Linked DNA regions of Drosophila melanogaster. The protein of the gene in region 2 interacts with the protein of the main gene of each other region in a biochemical or structural test. Each region holds a gene or a part of one and is shown on either strand. Other genes may lie near its edges. The genes, in order: eIF4G1 and eIF4E4.

Region 1 (5,187 bases), on a different chromosome or scaffold from region 2:
GTGCATGTAGCTTGTGCCTGCTGTAGTTGTTCCAGCTATTCCCATAGATGTTCCTATTTGCGCATTAGGCAATACTATTTGGTTGTTAATACTGACTCCAGTACAAGAACTTTTTTCACTTCCGACTCCGACGATGGACTTATTTGATACTACTGACCCACTGATGTTGCCATTTTGTTTAATGTCCTGTACATTTAGAAAGCAAACATTTCCATCTAGACTTCCAGTTAATTTTCGGTAACTGGATATGTTATAAATGGCAGTCGAATTCATATCACCCGAATTCAGTTGTCTACTATTTACTGTCAATATGCTTGAACCGTTACAGATAACCGATGACTGGGCTCTAACTGGTTCAGACGCAGATAAGCTTCTATTTACAACGTTTGTATAGCTTTGTTGATGCTGCTGTGTTTGCTGTGGGTGATGGATTGGTGGATGCTGCTGATTCGTCAAGTGTGGGGACTGTTGAGCGATCTGCGCTGATGCCTTAAGAATGGAGACCACATTGTATGCCTTATTTATCTGAAACTGAGGCTGAGCAGTGGGATGGCTATGCTGCGGTTGAAGAGGCTGATGAAGAGATTGTGGCTTTGAAGTTGGCACCTGTTGATCATACTTTTTGGTCTTTTTATTGGCTGGCAAAATCTACAACAGATCACAAGAGTGGGAACATTTTCGGACTGTAAAATTGATTTAACAATGATTAAAAAAAAATGTTGCCGAATATATAAGTTATAAAAACTATTAGATAATTGGTTAATCCTACTTTATTGCACTTAAACAAAGTATTAAAAAAACCAAAACAAACCCATTTAAAAATAAAATGAAACTGAGAAATCAAGAATCGGAATTTTGAGTAGTATTACACTTCTGCACTGTGAAATTTGAATATTATACTTATGCAGATTTTTTAATACTTTTCAGCCTCAAATTTTGTGATAAATAAATCCAGAATTAACAAATATATATAAAACATGCATTGGGTTTGATAATTTTATTAGGGTTTAGAGTTTTTGTCCTACGTCCCCTATGGACAAATAATGTTTATGGGATTTAGCTGTCTAACACAGTTCAAATGATAGATTACAAGATTAATTAATTAATAAAAAAAAAGTTGTGCGTACAAAATAAGAACACTAAATGATTAAAAACAATTAAACTATTATTTATTTTGTTATAGCTTCATTTAATTTTCCGACTGTTGCTCCTTAGTCGTCGCCGGCATGTTGACAATTAGCCTTAAAACCAAAGTTATACGCGGTCAAAAAACGGTGTATATCAAGTTGTCATTCAGAAATAAAAAGTATGAAGCTATTATCTTCTGGACTATTTTATATTTATTTTACTCGGCTGCTGATACTGATAAAGAATATATATATAATTTATATGGTCCCAAATATCTCTTTTACTGCGATTTAAATATATGCCTTATATCATTAAGCCCTTCAAAAGGACATCACTATAAAATACAATATCAAGTTGACATTTTATGAATAAAAACAACGAAACTATTATATTAGGGACTATTATATATGGACTGATTCTGTGACTTGGATATGTGAAATCATTAATCCTTTAAATCAATATAATAAAATACATTTCGAATATTTTTTTTCCCTTGGATAGATTAATCACAATGCGTTTTGAGTTTAGCTTTAAAATTACGTTGCTGAGTGTCTGCCAGTTACCAACAAACCAGATTCAGCATCCATTTTTGGAGCCACCGTTGAAATAAAAATTTTTTTAATTAATATTTTTACCGATAAAAACTATATGATTTATGTATGTTTGGAAAAACGCGGTTTTTTATAGTTTAGGTTTTAAATAAAGTACTTCATACCATGCCCGGAAGAGCTTCATTTATGAATTATGTAGCTTTACAGGACTAGAACAATTATTAGTATTCAATCAAGTTCGTTAAAAAAATTTTTAATTTTTTAATTCATTTAGTAAGTAACTTAAATAATTGTAATCGCAAACATATATTTTATAAATTTTTTAATTGAATTATATACCTTTTATACAAACCGCAATATTTATAAAACAAACATATAAAAAAATTCCACAAAAATAGCATTTTCTTTTTAAACTTTGCTGTTATTGTACGAGAAGTGTGATACTATCTTAATAGATTGTTTACATTGACTACAGCAGGCAAACTTATAAAAAATAGGTTTTAGCTCTTTTCGGAACTAGGAAAACATATTTATTTAACGAACTAATTTAAAACAATTGCAAGGAAAGTAATACAGCAAATAATGTCAAAATGTATATATGTAAATAATTTTGGAGATGTTATTTTTATATCGACTTACCATATTTTGTGCTGAATGGGGCTGCATGGCTTTATCTATATCTGATTGTGTTGGTAAAGTTGGTATAGCCTGTTGCATTACGTATGTGTATTCCTAGAGTTAGCTCTGTAGGAAATCGCCAAACGGTTAGATTTACCGTTTCATAGACGATTTCTGTGGTGATTTTGGACCCACAAATACGACGTCATTCAATCATTTGATTCTTTAATGAATATTAATGAATATTAATTGTCCACGTTTCAGTTCTGCATATTTTACCTGGAAATATATTGATATACAGCTACCAGAGAGGTCTCTGAAATTAAAAGAACTGACACGTATAAAATCATTAAATATCACAAAAGATTTCACCCAAATGTTTCAAAAATATAAAGTAGACATTTTGTAATTTATTAAGTCTAGAGCTGAAGCCCAGAGATAATTTCTATTAAACATTTGCCAATCCATCCTGGAGCCTTACTTATTTGCCGACGTTGCCGTTGTGACTTTGGAGATTTCGTTCTCACAATCACAATGGTGCATATGGTGAAAACGTGCCACGAATTCCATCGTTTACATCATTTTTAAAAAGTTAAGACACATTTCAGAATGTTAGTGGTAAAATCTTTTTTCCCTTCACTGTGCACAGTAAACTTGCAAAGTATCATGTAATATTTGTTGCCCAGTGCTCATTATTAACCATCAATTTACCTGAGCAAATGTTTGTATGTGCCTATCCGACGTGATTATGTACAAAAAATACAAATGTTAAGAATTCCACTTTAAGTGTATTTTAAAAATGTATTTATTTATAAAAATGAAGCAGTAATTCCAGCTTTATCTTTACATTCAAAAACTATTTTTTAATAATTTCCACATGCAATGTGTTCTGTTCATACGAACAGAGTTGCATTTATTATTTGAAACATCGATAGCACACAAGAAATAGTGATAACTGAAGAATATCATTATCAACGATAGTTAGGTCACATTTTTAAACGCTTCATCATTAATAATTTAATTTTTTGCTAACCATAAGTTTTTAAAAATAAAAAAAAAATCATATTTCAATGTTAATTATTTACTAAAACTACTTCATAATACGTTTATTCTATTGAGGTTTGCCAAAATTATAATAATGATTGTACATGCTATGCCAGCGTTCAATTCCTGATAATGAGCCCTTTCCGCAACATGGCTAAATAGATCATTATATCTAAGAATACAACATATGGGCAACTTTAAAACAAAATGTTAATTTCATCGTAATTAGGGTTTCTTGAACGTAAAATATAATTAGTTAATTATGGCCAAAATAAGACCCTTTCACACTGACTAAAATACATATGACAATAAAGAAATTGGTAAAAAACGATTCTATATTACATCAAAATATCGATAAATAAAAGAATTTAAATCAAAACAAAAATAATCCGTATTCAGACCCAATTATTTTATATTATTATTATATATTTTTTTTTTTTGGCACGGGTCCAACGGCGACACCTCCCGACCAACCGAACGAGGGGCGCTGCCGTGTATCGTACGCCTCGATTAGCGAGAGGATAGACGCGATATAAAAAAGAGAACAGGATCGAGGAAATGAATATAATATAAAATAACTATATTAAATATTACTGTTAGTAGGATCTAATCATAAAATAAAAAAAGGTAAAATCAATTGCTTTGTGAGCGGCAGAGAGTCAAGATTACAGATATTAGGATAAAGTCTATTATAATCAGAACATAATACTCTGTAAGGGTCACGCAACTCATAGTTAGATCTACAATGATTTAAAATAAGGAACTGAGAACTGAAATAAGGAACTGAGAACTACTACTGAGAACTACTTCGAACTGAGAAGTTAAGCCGACTAATCAAGTCAGAACTCTTAACATCCCCACGAATAAGCTTACAAATAAAGACTGTTCCAAGCATAGTTCTACCAAAGACACTAGAATAACAAGATGCGTAGCGGCCATACATTGGTTTGGCACTATGCAGCCAATTTTTTAGTGACGGCCAAAATTGCTCTCTTTCCGCTCGCTCCCGCTGAGAGCATAAGAAATCTAAAAATAGAATTTGCTTGCTTGTGTGAGTAAAAACAAGAGACGAGAACGCATATATGTGTGCGTGTTGTGCTAGAAGACGATTTTCGGACCGAAATCAATTCTGATCGAAAAAACGAATTTACATTGTACATATTAGGGTAGTTTTTGCCAATTTCGTAGCAATATGATAAAATAAAATAATTTTTAACTGACTATTATCATTTTAAAGCTTTTTAAATTTGTTTGTTAAAATCGCCGCTCGAATTAGCTACCGTTTACACATTTATATTTATGTTTAATTCTAATTTGTCTCTCATCTGACAATTTTTTAAGAAAGCGAAATATTTTTTTTTTTAAACACTTTTAATGTTAATGTTACATCATATAAAGTCAAATGACATAATAAATATAGTAAATAATTAAATATGATAACTGTTTATTGCAAAAGTCATATCAAAGACACTAGAATTATTCTAGTGTCTTTGCTTTGTTCATATCTTGAAGCACGAAGTACGGACACAAGCACTCAACAATCATTGCCTTATTAATTTTTCACACGCCGCAAGATGAATACTCTAATGACAAATATTCTTATATAAAGTCATTTTTGAAATTTATTTTTGTGATAATATGTACATAGATTTGGCTATTTCTAATCTATTTTCATATAATAATAACGTTAAGGCAATGCAAAACAAGAATTTTTCGCATGGTGCCAATTGATCAAAAATAATATAGATTTAAAGTCAAAGAACTTCTAAGGTGAAGGGCATATTTTGTGAAATTTACAATGCATGAGCGAGCATACGTGTGCACACATACAGTTGTCTGCTATCAC
Region 2 (4,084 bases):
GGAATTTCAATGTTGATTGAATGGCCTGGTGACCCGAGTTGGCTAAAACGTTACGTCACAGGGGCTGAACAAAGGGTTGAATAAACGTTACCAGCCGCATGTGAGGGAACCTACAGCTTTGTCATTCGATAATGGTTATAGATACTAGAATACCAAAGATACTTTAAAAACGTACTTAATAGGTTTTTTTTTAAATTATTAAAATAACATTTTTTACACGCAAATTAAGAGTCTCTTTTCAAACTCGAACTCGAAGCTCATAGCATGAATTTTAATACTGCGCGAGGCAACGGCGTTTCGTTCGGCCTTTCATCAAAATTCAATTGTCTCCATTTTGGAAGCCCTCGACGCCAGTTCCAGATACCAGAGATCCCAGAGATTCAGCGCCGGGTACTGTGGCACTCGCTAAAACGGACAATCCGCCGTGGCCATTGTTGACCCTTTTCGGTCTTTTGTTTTTCGCTCGGCCAGCCAAGCGAACCAAGTGGACGTTTATCTTTTGCAGTCACTGTGCACTTCTAGCTGGCCCGGCCAAAAGTACAAACTGCAAGTGTATATAAACCATTTTATTTGCGCTCTGGTGCGGCATATGTTTGCATAACATTTTGTGGAGCATAAAGGGTCCAACTAGCGGCATAAAAAGAGCTCCTTGGGACTTAAAAACTGGGGAATTTAATGATGGCTCGTCGTATATGCATTCACAACACTATGTATTTACATCTTTCTTTGCAATTTTTAACATGGTCAAATTCATAAAACCAGTTCTGTTTCAAGATACATTTTTTTTTTTATATTTTTCGGATACACGCGCTGGAAACAGCATTCAGAGGCATAAGCGGCCATGGAAATGTGGGTGGTTGGTGGATGGAGTGGTGGGTGGCATCCAAAACGGAGACGGCTTACACGCAATAAACCGCTTTGATCACCGATCCCTGCTTGCACATAGTGTCCTTGTGCAGCTGGTACTGCAGTTGGTGGGGCGGCAGGACGAGCAGGTCGCGTAACTTGAGTCCAATCTCCATGACGGCCAGCTCGTTGTGCCCGTTGGCGGTCCAAATCGCTTGCGGAGTAAAGGCGCTGGGTTAGTAGTTGTCATGGTGGTGTCCACTGGCTACTTAAGCTGAGTACACTACAAAACTACAATGTGTAAACTATGTTTAAAAAAAAAAAACAGAGCCAACCTAGGTGTATACCACTTAATATTTATAGGTTGGCGAAGTAAACAAAACATGTGTAATGTTTTTAGTAAAATATAATATTTGTAACCAGCTTTTTTAATGCACATGCACATCTTTTTTTTTTCAGTAATACTCACAAATTTTGTTGCTCTTCCCGCGCAAGTTGATAACGGCGCCGCAGACTTCCTCGGTGTTTTCAAAGGCCTCGCCAATCAGTATGAGTAGCTGTCAGTGGGCAGAAAAGAGGTTGTGCAGTTGCAACTGATATGACAGGCGATGGACACAAAGCTCCAATAGCTACTTACCACATCTAACCAAAGCTTGTCGAGCTCCGCTTTGGAGCCACGCCCCATATTGATGACCCAACGGCCGCCGAACTTGTTCGCATCATCCTCCCACATTGGCCTGCAATGAATAGGAAATCGGTAATCATGTATATAAATCTAGCCAATCTTACTGAATGCCCTTCTTGAACAAAGAATAATCGCTGCCCACTCTAATCTCAGATGGCTGCTTAATGTGATTGTAGAGACTCCAGAAGTCCTCGACCATGTCAAAGCTAGTAATCTCGTTCTGCATGTCCTCCCAGTTCTTGCTGCGATCATTCTCCAAGTACCACAGTGTCCAAGTGTTCTCTAGCGGATGCTTAAGGCGCAAATCAACAATCTCCGTTACGGGCTTGCGAATATCCATATCCGAAAGCGTTTTCAGATCCTCGCTGGAACTCGAAGGAGAATCGGCCAGCGTCTCGGTGCCGTTGTCCATCATCTTGAATTCGGTCTGCTGGGTCGTCAGCATGGTTGAGTGTATTTGGCGAATGATCTTTTATACTGATTCAAATTTATAACAATGGATGCTAATAAAATTTCAGATCACCTGGGAAAAACGATTTCACAGCCACAACACGAGAATGTGTATAAGGGGCTGGCTACGAAACCAGACTGAAGCCATTCACACAGACAGTAAAGGCATAGGGAGGTTCGGGGGTATTTTTACCCTCGCCGACTTGACCTGTTCCCCAATTCATAACTTTCATTGCACGTAAATAATTAGGCACTCTTTGGACCACCTCTCTTACTACCCAACGTACTTCGGTCCCAGTTTCTTCTGCTTCTAATTCAACTCTTAACTCTTTATGTTCTCATAAGGTTCGCTATGGGCTTATGCACTGCCAGAAAATAACAGTACGAAGTGGGTTGTAATTGGGAAAATATACATTTTTATTTATATATAGATTTAGCTATAAGTTTATTTAAAAATCAGTATAAATCTTTTGTAATTACACTTTCATTTGTAGATACTTAGCTGCCTATTTTTTTCCTCTGCGTTTCCATGTTCCTGATTCGTTTATGGCCATCTTGTTGGCCTTGGTGATAAAAATCGAGCGCCTTATGCTTTCGTTCATATAAAGCGTTAATTTTATGACACAGAATGGAAGGACACTTGAGCGACTCCGAGTCCAGAGAGAAATTTACGCACTCACACTTTTCGCCTCCGTTGGCTCCTTTCTTTTTTCCTATGATTTTACGACAATTGAGGGGGACAAAAGGAGACGAAAGGCACGGCGTTGGGAGGGGGGGTGGAGTCACAGAAGGTGAAATTTTCCGGGCTTTGATGGTGTTGATAATGATGATGTTGTTGCTATTGCCAAAGCTGTCGTCTTTTATGTTGCCTGCCATAAAAGTGAAAATATTATGAAGCTTGTTCGAAATGGTGGAACAATGAAACAGCTACGTAATTGCCGGCAAAGTATCTCGAAAGTCATCTATGAGGCAGTTTTTGACTTGTGCAATTGACATTGGTGCACAACAGTTGCGATAACATGACAGCCCAGAATGCTAATAATAGACAAAACGACGATATCGAAATTGAGCAAGGACTGCTCCGACTTTAATTTGACAGTTAAATGGCAGGATCTATTGAGGACACTAGATGTGCAAGTACTCCAGTCGGTTAACAAACGCGCAAAAGGCACTAATGGATAGCAGTTTGAACAGCAATTTCGTGTCGAGTGTATTGCCGTATATGGTGACTGTGATACGTTCCCAAATTTCCTGATGTAGTAATTCATCAATCTGTACTTCAAAAGAAAACTCAAAAAAAAAACCTACTAGTTTATATTATATAGTTTTACTCACCGTTCTAGCAGTTTCCTTATGGTAATTGGTCAAGTGAAAAGTGCATAAACTCCGGGTGATTCTTGATTCACGAGAAAGAATCGCAAAAATAGTCCACTGGAATATTATGTTCAATGCGGAAATGATGAGGAAGTTAAAACCATTTTGATCTTTAGCTGTTAAACTAAAGAATGGTAATAATCCGTAGATAATAGCACACAGCCAATGAAATCGGAAATGCCGTATGATTCTGACGGTAATATGAAAGACATTTTGACGCAGTCGAATTAATTTTTCAGTGATTCCTTGAAGTTGTTTTACCAACACCATAAATTGACCACTTTCATGGACAGAATGAAGTCTGAGCTTATCCATATCATTTGAGATTCGTCGAGTGCAATGGTGTAGTTCGCTATACGTGGCAATGAGCACTACAAAGAGGCAAATATTGATGGTGATCTGAAGAAGAAAGCTCAGCAGGACGGCCAGTATAATTAATAGGATAACGCTATTAAGAAAAGAGTCATAAGCTTCAGCAGAGTGGTTACTTATTCCCACTATCGTATTCAGTGATCTTAAAAGATTTTGCAGGGCCAAAAGAAGGAGCAGCAAATGTTTCAGGCGAAACAGATTCGGGTGCCTGGCCATTAGATTCACCTGCCTCATGATTCTCAGCATTTGGTTTAGCAACTCCACGATCTCTGCACTTTCCAAAAGTCCGTGTATTCTTACCACCAATATGATAACACTTCCTACCACATATGGCCACACAGCTTGCAGATTATGAAA

Evidence for each region.
Region 1: the proteins of eIF4E4 (region 2) and eIF4G1 form a complex in vitro, tested with the Drosophila melanogaster proteins (one study listed by BioGRID).

What each region holds. Positions count from the first base shown.
Region 1 is NC_004353.4:927,504-932,690, forward strand, and holds the start of eIF4G1 (eukaryotic translation initiation factor 4G1), read right to left. Parts: upstream 3,213-5,187; 5' UTR 3,009-3,212; exon of another isoform or gene 2,779-3,008; intron 2,629-2,778; 5' UTR 2,577-2,628; intron 2,521-2,576; 5' UTR 2,397-2,520; coding exon 2,319-2,396; intron 649-2,318; coding exon 1-648.
Region 2 is NT_037436.4:6,663,532-6,667,615, forward strand, and holds eIF4E4 (eukaryotic translation initiation factor 4E4), read right to left. Parts: upstream 2,111-4,084; 5' UTR 1,977-2,110; coding exon 1,636-1,976; intron 1,584-1,635; coding exon 1,484-1,583; intron 1,404-1,483; coding exon 1,316-1,403; intron 1,061-1,315; coding exon 900-1,060; 3' UTR 693-899; downstream 1-692. Other genes in the region: Grl65a (gustatory receptor-like 65a), read right to left, coding at 3,107-3,253, 3,317-4,084.